2 linked regions of the Mytilus edulis genome follow. The protein of the gene in region 1 purifies or fractionates together with the protein of each later gene. This does not show direct contact. Links are inferred from orthologs where the notes say so. Each region holds a gene or a part of one and is shown on either strand. Other genes may lie near its edges. The genes, in order: glycine--tRNA ligase-like; isoleucine--tRNA ligase, cytoplasmic-like.

Region 1 (8,222 bases):
TATATTTTATTTGATTTGTTATATTGTCCCATACATGAGTATATATGGTTTAGGGGTAAGGATCTTGACCATTTCCAAGTTCTCAAACAGAAGGGTGAACAGTGACCTCAGGGACTCCCCTATCTTTCAATTGAATTGTTATGTTGTCCCGTACATGAATATATGGTTAAAGGGTGGCGATCTCAACAGGTTTCAAATTCTCAAACAGGAGGGATGGGGTGACCCAAGGGACTCCCCCTATATTTCATCTGATTTGTTATATTGTCCCATACATGAATATATATGGTTTAGGGGTGGGGATCTGAATCATTTTTAAATTCTAAAACAGGAAGGGTGGGTGACCCCCAGCGACTCTTCCTATATTTCATTTGATTTTTCATATTGTCACAAACATGAATATATATGGTTAAGGGGTGTGGATCTCGACCGTTTTCAAGTTCTCAAACAGGAGGGGGTGGGGTAACTCCAGGGACTTCCCCTATATTTCATTTTATTTATTATATTGTCCTATACTTGAATATATGCAGGGGCGGATTCAGGAGGGGGGGGGGGATGCGAGCTTGCATCCCCCTTAAATTTGCAAAGCATGGGTTGTTCTCAGCTTAATAATGAATATTCCGATAATTTTACCTCAAATTTTTTTTAGCCTCGCTCTGCTCTGGGAACAGTATATCTAATATATAATTTTAATATATATGTTCCTGCTCTGCTCGGCGAAAATTTAAGTTTGTGCCCCTCCTTACCTAAAATGCTGGATCTGCCCCTCATATGGTTTAGGGGTGGGGAACTCGACCGTTTCCAAGTTATCAAACAGGAGGGGTAGAGTGGCCCAAAGAATGCCTCCTATATATCATATGATTCACTTACATTTAGGTATATATAATATTGTTGCATTATTTGTGAAAATAAAGAAACTTTTAGCTACTTTAATTGACCCTTCAAAATTGAATAAAACAAATAACGCTTCAAAATTGCAGTACTATATTTACACTTTAAAAGCATCTCACATGCATTATCATCATTTATCACTGATAAAGAAAATATAGACTGTGACCATGAACATGTATATTGTTAGATATACTGTTCCCAGCTGTCACGTTGTATTGGATTTTTAAATTAAAATTTGTCAAAAAGTAATTTTGAGTTTCTGTATAAAATATTTTTCTGCTTTTTCTTTCTTTTACATATATCTTTTGGTTTACAATTCTAGTGTTTATATTCATTTACCATGCATAGATTTATTTTTTCACCTGCTTTGATTTATTTTGTAAATGATCGCTAAACCCGGAATTATCCTTATCCGCTTCCGGAATCGGATCCGATATTGTAAAATTTTGTCTTCACGGCCGCCATTGTTGTGTTTACAATGTTGTTTTTGTCAATCAGATACGATTTTACTCGAATTTATACAATATTTGTCGGCGAATATCTGTATAAAGCTAGCAGTTGAACAAAGTGAACATCGCTGTCATGAATAATAATGATAAAAATAAGTTTTTAGCTCGTTTAATTGGAGACTTTGGTGACTTGCATGGAAGGTTTGCAAAGTAATTTCTTATTTTCTTTCAAGTGGAAGGTGACTACGTCGGGCGTAGCTAGAAACCCACTATCCTAGTCGAAATTCCGCTTGCAAAAGTGGAAGGTCGCGGACCTCGGACCACCGCTAATTTGCACACCTGCCTCCAAATTGAAAAGCTACGAAAATTTCTTTTTCTAATTTGAAATTGCCGCCAACAGCATGAACAGTTGAACTTATTATATAATAGACTACTGACGTAATTGTACTACGTATTGATGACAAACAATATCCCTACGACTTTTGCCATTTGGGAAATCTAAACTACTTGTCTTAAGAGATTTTCGGCGATTAAATATTTCATACAATTGTTCTTTGACATCTTAGCCAAAAGCACAAGTCATAATGAACTACACAAGGATTCTTAATAAGCACTACTTCCTATGTGTAACTTCAAAACTTTTGGATAAATCGACGATCATTTAAGGTTTTTCTGGTCATATTTTTTGTAATCCAGAATAAAAAGTATTAAAAAAGTGTTCAATTAGTTATATATAACATAGTAGCGAGCTAGATAATAACAATGGCAAGTTTTTCAGCATTTAATGGGTAGAACACAAATCTAGGGCGCTCGCATAATGCAGCTTAACTGCATAAAAACGAGAAACAAGAAACACTTATGAAACACAAACCACACCAACAAACGACAATTATGCACTGAACATTAGGTTCCTGACTTAGGACAGGGGCAAATAAATATAAATGCAGCGGGTTTAAACATTTTGATAAGCCGATGATATTACATGTTTTTAATATTATAAATACGTAGTAAAAATAAATGAAAAGCTAATATTCTCGTACTATAAAAGTTTATCCTAACATTTAAACAATTATTTCGTTTGTTTATATTAAGATGCACGATGTCAGTATATTGCCGGTGGCATTGGGTATGGTTGTATAAAAAGTATACATGTCAGCATCATCATTTCCTCTCGGATGTTAAATGTTAAATATACAGGGAGTCCTTAATTGGTGAATTAAAATTTTTCTTCCGATTTTTCTATTCTATAAGATAGGCATCCGACCCTACATTTACCTGTAATGTTTCACATGCAAGTTAAAATTAGTCCTACCACAGTATAAGGTTTTCAATGCTTTGCAATATGCTAATCCTTCGATTACAAAAAAAATCTATTTCCTTTTCGGTTCTTTTCGGTTCTTTTTGGTCCTTTTCGGTTCTTTTCTGTAAATCGTCGCTCTTTTCTGTAAGTCGTCAAACCCCTCTTAGGCAGTCAGTGGGCCCCCACTTATGAAAATTTCTGTCATTTTTGAGGGCCTTTCAATTTTTTTCTATCAATATTACCTTTCTTGTCGCTAAAATAGTTTCCTTTTGCATATTCTTTTAATATTTATTTGGAATAAGTAACTTTAATAAAAAAAAATGTTTTCTAGTCCCTAAATAGTTTATTGCATTTGTCGCTTCTTGTCTCTAGAATTATTCTTCTTGTCGCTAATTAGTGAGACCGATAATGATTTTCAAACTTGCAGCAATAATTCCATTTTAATAACTGAGTATAAATACCAATTTATCAGTATAGCTGTGTCAACATATTAAATTGAGAACCTAAATTTTCAACATATTTTGTAAAATGTAAACAAGTCCATGCTAAGAAATTTGAAAAAAGCAAAAGAAACCAGTGATGAGAGAAGGATAATTTGTCACCTGTTCTTTTACTTGTTGTCTAAAAGGCTGCAAAATTTTCTCGATTTCTGGATCTGTCAATGCCATCATCTGTACCATATGCTGCAACTTTTTTCCAAATAGCTTCTTCTGATTTTTAGATTTACAAATGCACGGAACGCTAAGATGTATGGTGCGTTTATTTAAATCTTCTAAAATGGAGCCACTTAACCTCCTGCTTATCTTAAAGACACAAGAAAATAGTTGTTTCATAGAGATTTTGTCATGATGCAATTTGCCACGGAACCGGAAGTTCAACAGTGAGGTTCAAAGGAAATGTGAAATTCATCGAACATCTTTTTTGAAGCAAAAATCATAATCATAAAATAAAAGCAAGACTTTGTATCCATGGACAATATTGAAACCGTGTTTAAAGTTTTCAACTTAGTCTTTGTCAGTTTTCATGAACTTCTTAGTATTTTGTTTTTCCCCTCACGGGTCTCAAGTTCTGATTTCCAAGATGTCTGCGCCCATGAAACCAGGCATGAAATTATTTATGAAGGATGAAAATAGATTTAGACAATATTAGATAATTAATATCAAATTAATTCCATACAATGTTAACTTTCAGTAGACTTACATACATCCGAAATATAATAGGACAAGCGAAGAAAAACAAAATACTTGATGCCAGTTTTCGAGTTATTTCCCTTAGGCTTAGGAAGGTTGGAACACATCCAAGATTAGTCTTAGGGATTGAAACAAGTTGTGATGACACAGGTGCAGCTGTGGTTGATGATAAAGGGAACATACTTGGTGATGCGCTTAACTCCCAAACAAAAGTGCATGTGAAGTAAGCAGCCCTTGTACAAATGTTGTAAGAGGGGGTGATGGGGTAGTCCAAGATTACTCTGACGTCCAACTACTGTTTTTGCCAGACAAGCTAGGGTCGAACAGCCTTTGGACGTCAGAGTAATCTTGGACTAGTGATGGGGGTACCTCCATGACATATTTAAATAACAGTAGAAATTCATGCAAAATGACATTAAAAATAAATTTTGGTGACCGTCAGTCACGATCATGTGAAACTCAACTCATTTCATTCATTCAAGAGCTTGCAGCAAATAACAACAATAACACACAAATAGACTTAATTATAATGTACTTTGCCAAAGGATTTGACAAAGTCCCTCATAAAAGACTTCTATACAAACTTAAATATTATGGTATTCAAAAAGAAACACTCCACTGGGTCGCTGCCTTTTTTAAATGACAGAACACAAACAGTTGACCTGGATGGAGAGTCATCTGACCTGGCTCCAGTCAGCTCAGGTGTCCCTCAAGGCACAGTCCTGGGCCCAGTATTATTCTTGGTATATATATCAACGACCTACCAGAATACCTACATGTATACCGACGACAGTATCATCTACAAAACCATCAAATCTCAAAGTGACTGTAATGCACTCCAGTTAGATTTAGAAGCAGCTGCTAGGTGGGAGCAAGACTGGTTGATGGCTTTCCATCCAGACAAATGCACAGTTCTTACAGTCTCACAGAAGAAAAACCCATTTAAACATGACTATATCCTCCACAATCACAAACTGGAACTTGTCTCTTCGGCTAAATATCTGGGCATTACACTTCAAGCAAACCTAAAATGGTCAAAACATACAGACAACATCATAGCTAATGGCAACAAATCTCTGGGCTTCTTAAAAAGAAACTTAAAAACCTCATGTCAGAACATCAAAACTCAGGCATATCTGGCACTAGTTCGTCCAAAACTGGAATATTCATGTTCAGTGTGGGAACCTCACACAGTTGAACAAACCTCCAAAATCGAGATGGTCCAAAGGCGAGCTGCCAGATATGTCTGTAACAGATACCATAACATCAGTAGCCTGACAGATATGATAAACACCCTAAACTGGCCAACTCTACAGGAAAGAAGAACACGCACAAGATTAATAATGTTCTACAAAATAATACATCAAATCGTCGCTATACCATCTGCTATTCTCATACCATCAGACAGTAAAACCCGCAAAAACCATAATTATACTTTTAGACACTTTTCAACCAAAAAAGATACATATAAATATTTATTTTTTCCATATACCATAACTCAGTGGAACTTATTGCCAATGCAAACAGTCGCTGTCGCCACAGTCGACACTTTTAGAGAACAGCTCACACCAGCTGTTCTCCACAAATTCATTTAACTCATTATTAGCCTATGTACATAGTTTTAATCACCTTTTTAAAAAAGTTAAATTACGCACCTCAAATTTATTTCCATATACTTTTTGTCTTTGTCTTTGTAAATATATATATAGGCCACGCTGCGCGCGCAAACAGTAAATAATCTTCAAATCATTGAAGGACTACTGAAAACCTAAAGAAGAAGAAGAAAAATAAATTTTGGTGCATATTTTTTTGGCACTGGCTACGGTTACATGGAAATGTAACAATAATAAAAATATTATTGTTACTTTGAAGACTAAATGCCGGAATGCATGGTTTGGTAAGGATCTGTTTAATTACGAATGTAACAATAATTATTGAGGCTACGGTTACATAGGGTTATTGTTACATGAAAAACAGCAATGTACGATGGGACTAGTAATATGTACTAAATAATAAAAAATGAAGAAATTTATTTTATATTTGCAATACATGCATTTATTACATACAATTTATTTACTGTAATTTTTAATTTACAATGACAATTTCTACAAATCTAGTAAGTGGTTTTTAAAGTCCAACACATTTTTGATGAACAAAATTGCGTCCTCCACAGTTACGTGTACATACAGAAGTTCTTAGTATTTAAGTTACAGTTAGCAAACTTTGCTTTTGATGTATCAATTTGGGTCAAGTTGTATAGCTGTATGAAATTTATGTCTTGATTTTGTTTAAGTTTCACTGGTTTAAAACACATCCCAATTTTTAAAGATTTTCACCCTAACAAAATTGGTTCAAAGTATAATGACAGTAATAAGAGTAGGTGTGCAGTTAAATACTTTAAAAAAGTGAAACCATTGAACTATATGTTTCGCCTTTGACACTCCTAATCTTGAGTAGTATCTTTAAGAACATCAAAACCATTAATACGTAAAACTATTCAAGTTAAACACCATTTGATTGTTGAATAATAATATTTATTATTTATCAGTATTATTTATCAGTATTACAAGTATTGTTTAGTACATATAATAATAATAATAATAATAATAATAATCTTTATTTCAAGAGGGTATGCTCAATTAGTACAAACACTATTCTCCCTTGAGGCCCTCACACTCCACTCACAATGCAATTCACACAATTTCTTCATAACAAAGAAAAACATTAGAAAACATAAATCAAAGTTGATACATAGTCATTTAAATATTTCCTGGATTTTCAAGTAAAAACTTAAAGCAGTTTGTTTTAAAAGTATTTATGTTTGACATGTGTCTTAGTGCTTCTGGTAGTTTATTCCATAAAGTTGGGCCAGAATATGAAAAAGATCTTCTAAATGTGTTTGTTCTTGCCTTTGGTATATTAAGTAATTGGGTAGTATTTGATCTAAGTTGCATTCCATTTTTATTTGAAACATAGGAGATTTTGTTAGACAAATATTCTGGAACAGATCCATATAAACATCTATGAACATATAAGGCCTTGTGGTAAATCACACGATCAGTAAATCGAAGCCATGATAACTTTTTAAACATTGTATTAGATGGGGTATCATAAGGAAGTTCAAGAATAATTCTAGCTGCTCGTTTTTGAAGTTTATCTAATCTATTTGTATTTTGGTCACTGGTGTTTCCCCAAATTGTACAACAGTAATCCAAAATAGGGAGAATATAACCATTAAAGTATAACTTTCTTGTTTCAAGGGGTAGGGATTTCTTTATCCTAGACAAAAGATTTAGCCTTGTACTGATTTTTGTGCACAAAGTGTCAATTTGGGCTGTCCACTCAAGATTTTCATCAATAAAAACCCCAAGGAGCTTTTCACAATTATTATTAACATCTCTAATGTGTGAGTTACCAACACTCAAATTCAGAACATGGTCTGTTTTTGCTAGTTTCTGTCTAGAACCAATAACCATAGATGTAGTTTTTGTTGGATTTATATACATCTTATTTCCCTTGCACCATTCTTCAATTCTTTCTAAATCATTTGTAATGCTGTCCTGGATGGTATTGAGACTACGACCTGTGCAGTGAATGGTAGTATCATCTGCATAGAGGTCTGCTTGAGATGAGGTTATATGAAGGGGCAAATCATTAATGAACAATAAAAATAAAAGGGGGCCTAATATGGAGCCCTGAGGTACTCCAGTTTTTATTTCTAGTGCCCTTGACTTAATTGTCCCATTTTCCACTTGTTGGAATCTATGAGATAGATATGATTTAAACCAGTTACATGATAAATTTGAAATTTTGTAGCACTGCAGTTTTTGAAGAAGGATAACGTGATCTACCAGATCAAATGCTTTTTTAAAATCTAGGAAGATAATACCTATAATTTCTCCATCATCAATTGCTTTCAACCACTGATCAATAAGTTTTAGTAAAGCAGTATGACAAGAGTGGTGGCTTCTAAATCCAGACTGACTTGCATGAAGGAGCTTATATTTTAATAGGTATCGGTATAGGTGTTTGCAGACATGCTTTTCAAAAATCTTTGACATAGTAGGCAAAATAGATATTGGTCTATAGTTGTCGACAGTATCTTTAGGACCCTTTTTATGGCTTGGCATGACACGGGCATTTTTAAGCTCAGAAGGAAATATACCAGCAGTGATACTCCTATTTATAATATAAGCTATTGACGGTGAAATAACTTCTGATGATAATTTAAGTATGCGAGGACTTATCTGATCAATGCCTGTAGCTTTTGCAACATTTAAATTGCTAAGGCAGTCCTTAACTTCTGCAACTGTTATCAAGGGGATGTAAAACCAAGTATCTTGAGGTACTTTTGCTGCTACCTCCTCATAAATCTTGTTACTATCAAATTTGTAT
Region 2 (8,312 bases), on another chromosome or scaffold:
CAGTTTTCTACTGACTGATAACAATCTTTTTATTTTTATCAGTATTTTTGCAATCCTAAGAAGAGTCATAGTCCACAGCTGGTCATTTCTGGTCAGTCTTCTACAATATTGTGGTAATTAGACAATATCCTGCTGTGAAGACAAACAAGTGTGTTTGAATAAATGATGTATCAATTTTCTGTTAATTGGTAAATTTTCTGGCTATTTAGTTTTGACCTAAAATCTGGCATTAGTTAATAATGTTATAGGACAAACCCTAAATTTCATCATAAAGTTAAGGATATATCAAATTGCACAATTTATTTGTGTTGATTAATCCTTATATATGAAAAATACAGATTTTAATATATATTAACTTGGTTGAAATTTTCATCTTTTTAATAACATCACAAGTGTCTGAAGCTAATATTATATGTCAAAATTAATTTTGATGTGTTAACAAAGGTCATTAACTTAAAAGGCATCAAATATTTATCAAACCAAGGAAGTATATATATACTACTATATTCAAGTCAAATGTTGTTGTTAAAATCTATTTTTTCACTTTTTTGGTCTGTTGGAAAATGTAGTTTGTGCTGTATTTAGACCCCTCTACAACCAAATTTGTTACTTGCACCATGGAAGTAATATTGCACACATATAAAAATTAGAGTTTTTATATCAATAATTATAACATCTTGGATGTCAATGAAAGGCGTAAAAGAAAAAAATACAATAGCCTTTCAAGACGTCATAGTTATTGTACTAATATACACAGGTAAACCTACAAAAATGTAGTTTTTAATCAGGAATATGTTAGGGCTAAGCTTTTAGATACGTTTCTCTTGGTTACGACTGCATATTGTATATAAACATGTATTGCTGAGTAAATCCTGGATTTTTTTGCATATTTAGACAGAAACATAAATTCAAGACTAAAAAAATAAACACTGATGTCTTCCATAGGCATTAGTTCTAACCTTTACACTCATATTTCCAGACATATTGACAACATCATGAAAAAAAATTCCAGTATCTTCTTAGCAGTAAAATGATTTTAAATTCTAGAATTCCAGAAAATTTTAGCAATGGTGAAAACATTTCAATGGAACTTTTATTTCACAAATGATGTCTCTCATAAGGCTTATTTCTGGAATAGCATTGTTTTCTCAATAACAATACAATCACTAATCTGTCATTAATCAATCACTAATCCATCAGTAATCGGTCTTAAATCGATCAGTAATCTTATCGATCACTAATCGATCAAACTCTTGAGAGAGTTTGATTGATTACTGATCGATGACTTCAAGTCATCAATCGAGTATTGATCGAATATGATTGATTAGTGTTCGATTACCGATCTGATCGATTAGTTAAGTCTGGTAATAATGAAACTTATACCATAGGTTTGTATCAGCAATGTCTTAAATGAGTTCGAAAATCAGTGAGGATCAATAATTGTTCAAAATGTTATTGCTCTTGGAAAAATAAATTATATGGAGCATTGCATTATGTTTGCTCACTCATATGTACAATTCTTGCCAGAATTTTATGAAACTTAAATCATAGGTATATATAACAAGTCTAACAATTTCTTGGATGAATTTGATCAATAAATTTTTCGAGTTATGCCCCTTCGAAATATTAATCATATCAAAAATTGCCTTTTTAGTGCTCTTATGTGTACAATTCATGTCAGATTTTATCCTAAAGATTTATTTTATCAATGTTCTTGAAGAGTTCAAGAAGTTATAAAAATCAATAGAATTTTCTAAAACAAATACATGTAACCATATATATTGTGGCGGAGAGCCAGTTTTTAAGACAACATTACTTCCCTTGAAAATGGACTGTTGTGAAATTAACATTTAGATATTACTGTTGATATAAGTTATTGATGAAAATGATTGTTTTACATGTCATAATATTTATTTACTTTATTGTGCTTTAATTTGTTGAAGATATTCACAGATTTTGATAAATTTGCAACTGATCATTTACTTATAGAGCTTTTCTATTTATCTTGCTCTTGTAAAATTAGTTCCGAGATTAATATTTGTTAAATTGCTTAATCATTTAGAGAGCCAAAGTCTATTAAAGAGACTATTTTTACGGTAAGTGCTTTTATGAAAGAAAAGATACGCAACACTGCTTGTCGACACTAGTCACTCTGCAGTATAGCTTTACATATAGAAAGCTTGATGGTCTTGCACAGACCTTACCACTAACTGTAAGATGACATTGTTATATATAGAACAAAATGTCTATCTTCAGTCTTGCTGGTCTTGCACAGACCTCGCCATATTTTGTCACTTTTATGTGAGTTTTAACTTATTTACATTTGAATACTTTTATCTTTATAATATTGTTGAGATTTGCTTAATTGTAATTCATTATAATAAACTATGAAAACTTGCTATTATTAAGTTCTACAAAGCCACATACGAAGGATCAGAGACTCAGGATTCCGATACCTACTCTTTACACGGTCTGGGGTAAAATATGTAAAAGTTGACACAGAAATACTCAACGTAAAAATCCCTCCGGTTACATTTTGGTGGCAGCGGTGGGATCCTGAGGCGAAACATCTGATCTTCTCATAGGCTACAGCACTATTTATACAATCAAATATGTAAGTTAAAATTGTGAAATTTAAATCTTTTACAATGTATTTCATTTTGTTTAACGTAAGTGAGTAGAAATTACTTCTCACATAACAGAGTTCATTAAAGAAACACTGTTCACTGATGTTTTATGTTTACATGTTTATTTTTATTTGAAAAGACATTGTCATGCTTTATCATATGTATGAAATAATGATGAGTAACAATTTCAGTTTTAGCTTACAGAAACTGATAATTATATAGAATGGCAGAGATAAAGTATGTATTGATAATTATAGGGTGTATATCTTGCATAGATGATGAAGTTTTAAATGGTTTAAATGGGAGTAAAGCTTAAATTAGATTGTTTAGTTAGAATGGTATATTTTAATCATATTATCTTAATACATTCAGTTATTATACATAGCTCAAGATGAATGTGTATGAATCGACAGGAACAACATTGTTGTATCCTTTTGGTCCATTTAAAGGACCGTCGCTTACATCATTTTATTTTATGCTAACTTGCTTCAAGATTATTATGTTTATGTGGATATAAGCTAGGCTGCGAACATGATTGTTTCGGCACGATTGACGTGTTTTAAAACGCCAATATGAGCCTCTGACTCACGTTTATATCGCTAGGGCCTGTTAAAAAGAGCTGGTCGCGGCATGATTGTTTTATTCTATAGTAAATGTCTCTTAAACTCATACAAAATATCTACTTCTTAGACAGTTACACAATTTCTATAGCATTTGACACAACAGTTTACTGGGTGACGATTCAGTGTAACTATTTGTTTAATTTTGTTGTTCAATTTTTCAGCACTTGTTTACAGTGAGGGTGATGATATGACATAATGTACGTGTGTTAGAACTAATATTGGAGATGACCTGATCAGCACTTCTAGTGTTAGAATGATGAAGGAATTCGATTGTGTTTCGTGTGCAATATAAAGAATACCGTGAAATAATATATGTGAAAGAATATCGCTGTGTTTAAATGGAGAATTTAGAACCATTCATACCTGCCTTGTTTTTAAACTTCATGGCTTCAGTTTTTAAGTTGGGAGGAATGTGGCGGAGAGCCAGTTTTTAAGACAACATTACTTCCCTTGAAAATGGACTTGTGAAATTAACATTTAGATATTACTGTTGATATAAGTTATTGATGAAAATGATTGTTTTACATGTCATAATATTTATTTACTTTATTGTGCTTTAATTTGTTGAAGATATTCACAGATTTTGATAAATTTGCAACTGATCATTTACTTATAGAGCTTTTCTATTTATCTTGCTCTTGTAAAATTAGTTCCGAGATTAATAATTGTTAAATTGCTTAATCATTTAGAGAGCCAAAGTCTATTAAAGAGACTATTTTTACGGTAAGTGCTTTTATGAAAGAAAAGATACGCAACACTGCTTGTCGACACTAGTCACTCTGCAGTATAGCTTTACATATAGAAAGCTTGATGGTCTTGCACAGACCTTACCCACTAACTGTAAGATGACATTGTTATATATAGAACAAAATGTCTATCTTCAGTCTTGCTGGTCTTGCACAGACCTCGCCATATTTTGTCACTTTTATGTGAGTTTTAACTTATTTACATTTGAATACTTTTATCTTTATAATATTGTTGAGATTTGCTTAATTGTAATTTATTATAATAAACTATGAAAACTTGCTATTATTAAGTTCTACAAAGCCACATACGAAGGATCAGAGACTCAGGATTCCGATACCTACTCTTTACACGGTCTGGGGTAAAATATGTAAAAGTTGACACAGAAATACTCAACGTAAAAATCCCTCCGGTTACAATATCTAGCCCTCAAGGATTTGTAATACAGGCTCTTTTTCTGTGAAATTTGAGAAAGTTTTTTTTTTTTTTTTATTGTTTTTTGTATCAATACTTTTTTATGAAAATATATACGAATTTTGAATATCCGATTACCGTGTGTTGGGCCCAGGCTCGGATTTATACAGGAGGTTATTTAGCTGTTTCTTTCACTTCATTATTTCCGGTCAAGTCAACATGTGCTGATGCAACCGGCTGAAAAGTTATTTTTATCTGGTATTCAACAACAAAGTGCAAGTGAAAAGTTGTCAATTACTTAAATTGTTAATGAAAGTAAGTTTATTTTATTAACACGAAAAAGCTAAAAGTGAAAATAAAAAAAAAATCTAGCAGATTTTGGCGATTTATTATCTTTCAGTTTCTTTTTGGTCAATTTTCCTTAAGGTTCATCATAACCTTTTGGCTAAAATGGCCGTATTTAGTACTATTTACACCCCAAATTTTATTCTGAGTACAGACTAACCTATACACCTGCAACAGTTTTAAGGGATGGCAGGAACTAGATATATAAATTTTAAATGCATTTTGTGTTTCAGAAAATTATAAACTTTTCTAGATTTTGCTATCCATTTTTTTTCGTTCCTGCAGAAGGTGCAAAAATTAACTAAGTAGTGAAAACGATTGAGAAGCTCCCCTCATATAATCAATGTTGTGAGTAGAATTGATTTAAATGGACAATAGACACCTGTAAACAATAGGTGATTTAACAGGTTTAAACTGTGTAACTGAGTGGACTGTATCTCATGAAACTCAGGTGTTTGTTTATTTTGCTATCTTCTGCAGACTGGAAAAAACTGGACATCAAAATCCATGCAAGTTTTTAATTTTCTGAAATGTAGACTTCATATAACTTTTACTTGTCTAGTTCCTGCCATGCCTTAAAACTTTCCTAGATGTACCAGTTTGTCTGTACTCATAGTAAATTTTGAGGTGTAAACACGGCCATATTTTTCAATTCCTTATGATGAACTTAATGTTGACAAAATATATCAAGTTCATTTGATACTATCCATATGGCGGAAAGATCAATTCTTATTTTCAAATTGGTCTTACTTTCACCTTATTTATGCAGTAAAAGAAGCGTGAACGATACCCAAGGCCCGAAAAGGGTCATTCAAAATCATAGATTGAAAATAAACTGACAAAACCAGAGCTAAAAGACAAACAGACAAATAATAGTACATAAGACACAACATAAAAAACTAAAGACTAAGCAACAAAAACCCCACCAAAAACTGGGGGTGATCTCCGGTGCTCGGAAAGGGTAAGCAGATCCTGCTCCACATGTGGCACAAGTCATGCAGTCTGTACCGTTAGCCACTAGTCTGGTGCCCCAGACTAGTAAATATTGATTTGAACTAGTGAACATTTTCAAAATTCTATGAAGTCAAAGGGACAAGTTTTGATAATATGAGGCAGGCATTACCTGTGAATGGGGGCGAAGTCTGTATGATTTTATTTTTTTTAATTCAAACATGTTGATAATAGAAACAGAAACCGTAACGTTTCAGATTTTGGTTCTGTTGTTAAAGAGTTAGTTGTGACATTATTTAAATTATGACGTCATATTCAATGTAAACAAAGAAACGCTTTCATCAGGTAACGTTTTTTCATATCAAACAATTATTAGAATTGAATTGGTATTGAGTTCCAATCCTATATTTTACTAGACTGATAATTTTTTTTTTTTCAAAGTCTCATGCAAACAAGACTGGAAAAGGAAGTAGATTTCTGTGCAAATGCGTGAATTTAAAAAAGTCTGAAAAAAAAGTTAATGATTTTGAGTTCATTAGTACATGTATATCAGAACAGTCTATTATTTGAACTTGGAATTATTTTCAACTATGAAATTTGCTTGATTTCTTGTTATTGAAATTTTTAATAAATTCCATAATTATTCTGTACTGAAATGTTCTGTGCTGCGCACAACACTTTCTATTACAGAGAAAATAGTATATTTTCAATAGAATGTACTGTGCCGCGCACAACACTATCTAACCAAAATACATGGTATGGAAAGTGTTATTAACTGCTCAAAAGATCATAATACAAAATAAACATGGAATTTATAAAAAAATTTAAACACAAGAAATTATACGAATTCCATAATTAAAAATAATTCCAAGTTCAAATAATAGCCTGTTATTGAAAAATTAGGGAAATTTTCACGATTTAAATTTTTTTATTTTTTTTATTGATTTTTGTACCTTAATAGGGGTCTTCGTCCCCATATTAAGTGTCCATACAAGTAGATTAAAATGTTTTTTGTCACAGACTGGTCATGTTGCTCATGTTATTAATAACCCTGTAAAAAGTCTACTTCAGTATGTCACATTCATATCTGATAACATCTGTAAAACGAATATTCCATTACGGTCAACTAACTGATGGCGTCCATAAAATTTAGGAAGGGATGATTTCGAAAATCCCCATTTGGAACTCTTGTTTAATAGCTTCCTTGTGAGCAGCAACCCTCTAACAAAGAAATCCTGATAGGAAGGTATTAGTAACTGAAGAAGGCTAGTTTGCTTCTCCCCATGTTTTTTCCTTAAATTCTTTATTGCTAATGGTGTTTGGTCACTTCTGAATTATGTAAAACAGAAAATGCTTTAATTTTTCTAGCACTAGAGTTAATGGCTCAACAAGTTCCTGAGAAGATTTCATTTCCTCAGGAAGAGGAGAAAGTTCAGGCTTTCTGGAAAGAAATTGATGCATTCAAAACATCACTGAAGCAGTCAAAGGGGAAACCAAAGTAAGTGTTTTAGTATCCAGACTTTTTGCCATTGCAGTATTAACATAACAACATACTATCATCTGTTTGGTGTAATGTCTGGGATATACATTCAAGTTTTTATATAAAAAAAAATATTATAAAAATACCAAACTCCAAGGCAATTCAAAAAGAAAAGTCCCTAAAAACTAGCAAAATAAAACACTATCAATCAACAGAACAAGTGAAAAACAAATACCATATTCTTGACTTTGTACAGGTAGTTCTAAAGAAATTTGTGGGTTAAACTTGGTTTTAATATTGATCTTTCACTAGCTAAAGCCTACATCTAAAACCATTTTAGTGAATTAAAATACACCTTCAACAGGAATGCATTTTTTAGATCATCTTTGAAAGATTATAAAATGTGATCATCTTATTTTTTTAACAGGTATACTTTTTATGATGGACCCCCTTTTGCCACAGGTTTGCCTCATTATGGCCATATTCTAGCAGGTACCATTAAAGATGTAATGACAAGATGGGCCCATCAGAGTGGATATCATGTAGAGAGAAGGTTTGGATGGGATTGCCATGGTCTCCCTGTTGTAAGTAATGCAGGATATTGATCGTATGATAGTTTTAGACACCCCTTTAATTTAGTACTAGTAGGAAAGGTAGATTTTTTTCACTCCAAGGTCAACAGGATCAAACCATAATACATATTATTCTGCTTAAGAAGATGTGTAGGCATGTGACTCAATAGTTAGTATAATGTTGATTAAAAAGAGCAGGGTGCTTTTTCTCTGAGAAAGCACTTACAAAATCAACACAATTCAAGTTTGGTTGGTAGCTTCTGAATTTGTGATAACTGCAGTCAAATAAAAAATGTAATGGTCTTTTAGATAATCTAAATAAAAAAAGGTATAATTTGGGGGGATTTGTAGAGTAAAAAAAATAAACATCTAATAATCAATTATATAAGTTTACTAGGTATATGTTAATATAAATGGCTATGAATTCGTAGCTGTCAAGCTTCTGTATGTTATGTTTTGAAATACCTTCTGTCCTTATTTTAGGAGTATGAAATCGATAAAACATTGGGCATCAAAGGTCCAGAAGATGTGGCTAAGATGGGTATTGAGAACTACA

Evidence for each region.
Region 2: the proteins of glycine--tRNA ligase-like (region 1) and isoleucine--tRNA ligase, cytoplasmic-like fractionate together in Homo sapiens (co-fractionation; 3 studies listed by BioGRID). This does not show direct contact. The link is inferred for Mytilus edulis from reciprocal best matches to the Homo sapiens genes GARS1 and IARS1.

The regions. Positions count from the first base shown.
Region 1 is NC_092345.1:85,539,446-85,547,667, reverse strand, and holds the start of glycine--tRNA ligase-like, read right to left. Parts: upstream 3,512-8,222; 5' UTR 3,471-3,511; coding exon 3,240-3,470; intron 1-3,239. Other genes in the region: tRNA N6-adenosine threonylcarbamoyltransferase, mitochondrial-like, read left to right, coding at 3,815-4,050. UniProt on the Homo sapiens protein: Catalyzes the ATP-dependent ligation of glycine to the 3'-end of its cognate tRNA, via the formation of an aminoacyl-adenylate intermediate (Gly-AMP).
Region 2 is NC_092344.1:112,851,341-112,859,652, reverse strand, and holds the start of isoleucine--tRNA ligase, cytoplasmic-like, read left to right. Parts: upstream 1-4,589; 5' UTR 4,590-4,723; intron 4,724-7,072; 5' UTR 7,073-7,083; coding exon 7,084-7,202; intron 7,203-7,611; coding exon 7,612-7,768; intron 7,769-8,239; coding exon 8,240-8,312. UniProt on the Homo sapiens protein: Catalyzes the specific attachment of an amino acid to its cognate tRNA in a 2 step reaction: the amino acid (AA) is first activated by ATP to form AA-AMP and then transferred to the acceptor end of the tRNA.